2 linked regions of the Macaca mulatta genome follow. The protein of the gene in region 2 purifies or fractionates together with the protein of the main gene of each other region. This does not show direct contact. Links are inferred from orthologs where the notes say so. Each region holds a gene or a part of one and is shown on either strand. Other genes may lie near its edges.

The links. Proteins that work in one complex are often made in the same cells at the same time.
Region 1: the proteins of ANKRD46 (region 2) and ATRN purify together in Homo sapiens (co-immunoprecipitation; 3 studies listed by BioGRID and IntAct, with this or other methods). This does not show direct contact. The link is inferred for Macaca mulatta from reciprocal best matches to the Homo sapiens genes ANKRD46 and ATRN.

The regions. Positions count from the first base shown.
Region 1 is NC_133415.1:80,514,668-80,518,720, reverse strand, and holds part of ATRN (attractin), read left to right. Parts: intron 1-949; coding exon 950-1,193; intron 1,194-2,573; coding exon 2,574-2,757; intron 2,758-3,503; coding exon 3,504-3,658; intron 3,659-4,053. UniProt on the Homo sapiens protein: Involved in the initial immune cell clustering during inflammatory response and may regulate chemotactic activity of chemokines. May play a role in melanocortin signaling pathways that regulate energy homeostasis and hair color.
Region 2 is NC_133413.1:110,862,021-110,865,681, forward strand, and holds the end of ANKRD46 (ankyrin repeat domain-containing protein 46), read right to left. Parts: intron 2,659-3,661; coding exon 2,442-2,658; 3' UTR 972-2,441; downstream 1-971.

The DNA of each region.
Region 1 (4,053 bases), on a different chromosome or scaffold from region 2:
GGTTAAAGATGTAGATTAAAAAGTGTAGATTAGCTTTTATTCTCATAAGCAAGTTAGCCAAGAATAGCTACATTGTAATGTGGCTGAATAAACATTTTCATTTCCTCATTTTTGTAGATAGATGGTAGGATGAGGCAACTTTATTTTTCCAAGTCCTTTTATACTGTAAAAGATTCATGTGAGGAAGTCCAAAGAAAACTGGTGAAGTATTAGAGATGTAAAATATGATTAGTTTTATTTCCCTTTTTCCTTTTTTTATCCTTTTCCTAGTAATTCACTGAAAGGTGCCTTTGCTAACCCTTAAAATTTTTTAAGTTTATTTTTTATTGAGGTAAAATATACATATATAATGGTACCATCTTTACCATTTTTAAGTGTACAGTTTGGTGGTAATAAATACATTTACATTCTTTTTTTCCTTCTTCATTCTCCCCCGCCAGCCTGCCAGCCTCTGGTAACCACCAGTCTATTCTCCATCTTCATGAGATCCACTTTTTTAGCTCCCACATATGATTAATAATGTGATATTTGTCTCTCTGTGCTTGGCTTATTTTACTTAACATAATGACCTCCAGTTCAATCCATGTTGCTACAAAATGACTGGATGTCATTCTTTTTAACGGCTGAATAATGCTCCATTGTGTATATATACACCACATTTTCTTTATCTAATTATCCATTGATAGACACTTACATTGATTCCATGTTTTGGCTATTATGAATTGCGCTACAGTTAACATAGGAGTGCAGATATCTCTTTGGTATGTTCATTTCCATTCTTTTGGATACATACCCAATATTGAAATTGTTGGATCATAGGGTAGTTCTATTTTTAGTTTCTTTACTAACCTTTTTTAAGCTGAAAGTAATATTGAGCTTTTGTTCTTCTCTGTTCTCAGATTTAATCTTTTCAGTGTTTTTTAAAATTTTGTTTGCATTTTTTTCCTAGGATAAAATTTACATGTATGGAGGAAAAATTGATTCAACTGGGAATGTGACCAATGAGTTGAGAGTTTTTCACATTCATAATGAGTCATGGGTATTGTTGACTCCTAAGGCAAAGGAGCAGTATGCAGTGGTTGGGCACTCCTCACACATTGTTACGCTGAAGAATGGCCGAGTGGTCATGCTGGTCATCTTTGGTCACTGCCCTCTCTATGGATATATAAGTAATGTGCAGGAATATGATTTGGGTAGGTATATTTTTTCTAGTAGATGCCTTTTGAACATCAGATTCAAAACCTCTAAGCTTATTATTTTGACTGTTTAGAAAGGTTCAACCTCATATTGATTCAGTACTTTATCTTGAAACATAGTTAACACTGGGCCCGGGCGTGGTGACTCATGCCTGTAATCCCAGCACTTTGGGAGGCTGACGTGGGCAGATCACCTAAGGTCAGGAGTTCAAGACCAGCCTGGCACCAACATGGTGAAACCCCGTCTGTACTAAAAATACAAAATTTAGCCCAGCATGGTGGCAGGCACCTATAATCCCAGCTACTCAGGAGGATGAGGCAGGAGAATCGCTTGAACCTGGGAAGTGGAGGTTGCAGTGAGCCAAGATTGCACCACTGCACTCCAGCCTTAGGGAGAGAGTGAGCCTCTGTCTCAAAACAAACAAACAAACAAACAAAAACCAATATAGTTAACATTGATGTATTACCAGTGAAATACAGATTATTGATACTCCTATGTAGTATGTGTTTTTTACTGTCAGTTTGGTAAGGAGCCAAAGATGACCCAAAGTACTCTGGGTATTTAAAATAAATAAAAAGAAAATGGTTCAAAACAACAAATATTGAAGAAAAAAAGTATTTGCCTAGCCCTTTAGAGATTGGTTTAGCGGAGTATGATTTACCCTTAATATAAAATATTTCCTTTGGTTAAATTTCATTGTATCTGTTGTTGTGCAGTAGGAATACCAGGTATAATTAACATTTTGTGAAAAGTAGGCCTATAAAATATATCTGTATATTGGTCACCAAAGGTTATAGGGAATTAAATGTTCATTTGAGTGGAATCTGATCTTTTTATTTTATGTATTGAGACAAGACCTCACTCTCTCACACAGGCTGGAGTGCAGTGGCACAATCATAGCTCACTGCAGCCTTGATGCCCTGTCCTCAAGTGATCCTCCCACCTTAGCCTCCCTAGTAGCTGGGACTACAGGTGCGTGCCACCACTCCTGGCTAATTTTTTAATTTTAGTAGAGATGGGATCTTACTATGTTGCCCAGGCTGGCCAACATAGCAGGCTTCAAGTGATCCTCCTACCTTAGCCTCCCAAAGTGCTGGGATTATACATGTGAGCCACTTCGCCTGGCCCTGAGTGTTTTAAATTTAGTTAATTCTTTTCTTACATGGCATATTAGAACATCAGAACATAGAACAGACTGGAATTAGGCCACATGGCTTTGTTACAAGTTTAGGTGACTTTCTTTAAAATATAAAGATAAAAAAGTATATGTATCAGGTCTCCTGAAATCCCTTCTCGTGCCCTAAGCGCTTTGGACATTTTCAGTAGTAGAGAGGAGGAGCCTGCCATGCTTGCCTTTAACTGTTTTTCCTTTCCAGATAAGAACACGTGGAGTATATTACACACCCAGGGTGCCCTTGTGCAAGGGGGTTACGGCCATAGCAGTGTTTATGACCACAGGACCAGGGCCCTGTATGTTCATGGTGGCTACAAGGCTTTCAGTGCCAATAAGTACCGGCTTGCAGATGATCTCTACCGATATCATGTGGATACCCAGATGTGGTGGGTACTTTTTCTTGAGCTTTCACTTTAAGGTGTAAATTCTGTAGAGGCAGTTGTTGAGAAAATATTGTGCTATCTTTTTGTTTTTATGCCTGGCAGTTAATTCTGTTCAGCGTTGTATATAGAGAAATTGGGAAATAAACAGAGGGTAATAAAGTAGCTAGTATTTGTTTTGTTGCATTATTCTGTAATTCTGTAGTAGGTTGGTTAGAAAATGCTTAGTTTTTTTTAACAAATATAAAGCAAATTTGAGTTATGAAATAATGTAATTATAAAGCGATGGTTTCTCTTCTTTTTCCTCACCTATTTGATACCCTGCTATGGATACTGTTTTATATTCTGTCATAAAAATTATCATTTTGAGTAGCTGTGGAATACTCCATTTTGTGGGTATGCTGAGACTGTGCAGGTGAAAGTTTTGGTTTCCTTCTAGTTTTTATGTTATTAAGAAACCATTATGCATTAAGCTTCTGTCAATATTTCACATGATTTCTGCCCAGAAACTAGAATTATATAGCTACAGAGTATGAAGAGTTTAAGGTTCTTAATATTTGCCAAAATTCTTACAGGTCTTTAAAATTATATATATTTATTGTCGAAAAAGTTACTTATATGTAGGGAAAAATCTGGAAGGATTTGTACCTTTGGGTCTGAGGTTAATAAAGTGGTTGTGCTTGCATTAGCAGATACATAAATATTCTTTAAAAACTAACCTTGTATTTATTATTTCTAAATAAACTCAAAAGGACCATTCTTAAGGACAGCCGATTTTTCCGTTACTTGCACACAGCTGTGATAGTGAGTGGAACCATGCTAGTATTTGGAGGAAACACACACAATGACACATCTATGAGCCATGGTGCCAAATGCTTCTCTTCAGATTTCATGGCTTATGACATTGGTAAGTTTCCCAAAACCATTTTAGCTTCAGGCATCTTTTTGTCTATAAGCAACATTTAAAAGGAGACTGGAAATATTGCCAGTTAAAAATGGTCAGGCCTGGCTAACCTGGTGAAACCCCGTCTCTACTAAAAAATACAAAAAACTTGCCGGGCGAGGTGGCGGGCGCCTGTAGTCCCAGCTACTTGGGAGGCTGAGGCAGGAGAATGGCGTAAACCCGGGAGGCGGAGCTTGCAGTGAGCTGAGATGAGATCCGGCCACTGCACTCCAGCCCGGGCGACAAAGCGAGACTCCGTCTCAAAAAAGAAAAAAAGGTCAGGCCATTTGAAAGAGGTCCAAATGGTATTTTTTATATTCCTTTGACTAATGTTACATATCTGATAAAAATTATTTCTA
Region 2 (3,661 bases):
AGGGGTTGGGAAGGAGGCAGTCAGGTATGGTTAACTATGGAAGACTTTCTGACAAGCCAGGGTTGGACTTTGAGTATTAAAGTTTCTATCGTTGGGAAGATGTGTAAAAAAGGAAAAAAAGTAAGTATATAGGACCACGAGTGGAAAATTTAGTAATGTCCTGCTGAAATGGTATCAGGCGAGGTTCTGAATAAACATGGTTCCATTTCCAGATTCATGAAAGACAGTGGGACAGGAGGAAAGAGCAAGCATAATTGGGGCTGGAGCCTTAATCTGGAATCCCTCTTCTACCAAGACCTACCTGTTTGACCTTGGACAAGTTACTTAGCCTTCCCTGTGTCCATTTTCTCATCTTATAAACTGGGGACATGTAGTGCTCAAGGGAGCGTAGGGTAAAATGAGGTGAGGCACGCTAAAAACTTGCATAATTGGGAGGGGCTTAATTGTGGTAGTTATTATCATCACCCTTAAATCTACAAGCAATTCACTCAAACTAGTTTGAGTATTTATAAGGCAAACATAAATGAAACTCAATATACCTATCACATTAGGTTTGAAAAAAAGCTGTGTTTTAAAAAGCAGCTAATTGCAATCCGTTACAAAATCCCCAGATTACAAGAAAAACTATAATACACTTAAAAAAAAAAAAAAAAAGACAAATCATGATTAAGGGATATATAAATACATTTATTGGTAGTATTCCTGAATGATGAATGCAGAGAACAGAATACAAAGAAATCAGCACATACAAGGAACCATTAATCTTCAAAAATGCTATATACTTAAATTTTGACCAATTTTGCATATTTGTTTAGATTTACAAACAAATGTAAAGCAAAGTTTTCTTCTGAATATACTTCAAATTTGAATTGTAGTGTTCTCCATTCTAAAGCCAGCTGTTTTTTGCTGTATTTACACCAACTATGATTTACTTTGTATCTAACCTAAAAGCAAGACTCTGCAAGCTGATCCTGAAGCAGCCAGTTACTCAGGAATTTTACAACAGCTATTAGAGAGAGGATAAAGCCACATGAAAGAGCGAGCCTCAATACTAGATATACAGATACAAGAGAAAACACCAAGAAGCAAAAAGAATCACAGAAATACCAATTCTATTCTAAAGCATAATTTCTAATTCTAGCAGCAATTCAATTAGCAATAGCTTAGGTGCCTGTATTCCAAAAAACAAAACCATTAGTTCTTTCACTTCAATTTCCTGACTTTACCCAATGAATAATTATCAAGCCTTCATATTCTTTTTTAATAACTCAAGAACATAATTCATACATTACAGGATCATTAACAAAAGAGGCCTTCAAACATATTGCTGAAAGCTGCAATATAGTTTGAGGGCCAGATTTCAATTTACATAATATTACCATTCATAAAGAGTTTATGACACCCAGTACAATACTGTTCAGCACGTTAACTCAGAAATGCTCCATCCATTCTTGCCATCAGAGAATTACAGATATGGATGGGATTGTTAAAAGTCTAACAGGGCCTCTAAATAGAACTGCACATGAAATAATTATGAACTATGATAAAACTGTGACAACACAGCTAGCTTATAGAACTGAATTTTTCACTATAATAGCACTACAGATTTATGACAGTTAAATATCAGAATTATTTTTCCCTGCTAACTCTTCAATAGAAAAAGGATTTTCTGACTGTAATTCTGATGAATGGTTATCTCTGACGAATAGGGTACCAGGGAAAATCGGAAAGTGAACAAAATGAACTCGTTTATTTTTCACAGATATTAACGAGCAAAGCAGTTTACAAAAAATCAAAAATTAACCTAAAAACAAATAAATATAAGATCAAATCAATCACCTTTGAACAAAATATAGCTCATTTTCAAAAGTTTTGTTTGGTTTGTGACTAGACTTAAAAATACTAAAATAAGCCGAATAGATTCTAACAATACTAATTTGCTGCACAAGATTTGAAAAAAGTACTTCAAGTTTTAAATTATCTCTTGTCCCTAGAGACAGTAAATAAAAAGTGGCTCTTGCAAAAATAAATGAAAACAAAACCACCAACAAAAACTAATCATATAAGACACTGTTTTTCTTTTTGAATACTTCAACTGGTCCTATATTAGGATAAGGTTTTGATAGCAAGGACTTCCTAGCCTCTTCCTTTATCTTCCATTCTCTAGTCATTTGTGTTTTTACCAAACAAGGCTATGTGCAGGTTTTCCTACAAAGTCAGGTTGAGTCAGAGGTAGCGTTAGGATGCAATATACTTGATCATAATATGTAGTTAGTTCAAATGAACACATCGTTATCTAAAAGGATTACAATAATTAAAAATGCAAAAAGAAACATGTACCGCCCTCACTGCTTTGCACTAAGAAAAATTCTGAGAAACTGAGAACAAACATTGGAAGCCAGGAAATAGGCAATTCATTGCCTCATCTTCCATGAGCTCCTTTAATGCACCAGTTCAGGCTGGTTTTCCACAAAGGGCAGCACCCCGCTCACATAATAGGCAATGCCAAGAGACAGCAAAGCAATGACGAAGATCAAAAGCAACACTCTCCAGAAGCCCAGATCCTCCACAAACTCCTGCCACGTGGTTCGGAAGCTGGAAAGGACCCCTTCACCTTGCTGCAGGTTGGGATTGAGGAGTGAATGGCTTTCCATAGCACTGTGGAAGAAGAAAGAGCAAAAAGGGCATTAAAAAACACAGCAATTCCAAAAACATAAAACTATAGGACTATTATTTAGAAAAGACCAAATACACACACACACATACATATATACACTCTTACATGCTTATGTATCTGAACAATATATCGTAAACTGTAAATTGCTAAATGGTAATGAGTATGTTTCTCTTGGTTTAGAATTTAGTAAAGTCAAGTTAAAAATTCTGTTAAAAAGGTCCTGGTTGGGCATGGCGGCTCATGCCGGTAATCCTGGCACTTTTGGAGGCCAAGGAGGGAGGATCACTTGAGCCCAGGAGTTCGGGACCAGCCTGGGTAACATAGCGAGACCCCATCTCTATTTTTTTTAAGGTGTCCTGAGCAGAAGTCTTGAAATAGGTTAAATGAGTTGTTTCCATCAAGATATTAAACCACAATACATTATTGTTATGTTAAATTTAGAAGATTCAAAGGGTAGACTCATAATTTAAGAACGTATTAATATGAATAATCAGACACGCAGGTGATGACACCTGAAGAGGACAGTCATCTACAAGTCAAGCAGGGAGGCCTTAGAAGAAACCAACTTTGTGACACCTTGATCTCAGACTTCTAGGCCCTAGAACTGAGAAAACAAACGTCTGTTTGAGGGGGCAGTGGTGGGAAAGATGAGTAAATCTAAAAAGTCACTTATATAGTGTGTGTGAATCTTAAAGTTAAAAGGGAATTTTTATTAATTTAGTTCAATAATCTGACCAATGAAGGAATTCCTTCTTTAAGTGTAATTCTCTAATAATGGAAGCTTACTCTTCAGCCTGTTGTCCATGTGGACTCATCTAGTTATCAGAATTTTTTTTTTTTTTTTTGGAGACAGAATCTCACTCTGCCGCCCAGGCTGGAATGCAGTGATGTGATCTCGGCTCACTGCAACCTCCACCTCCCCGGCTCAAGCAATCCTCCTGCCTTAGCCCCCCAAGTAGCTGGGACTACAGGTGCACACCACCA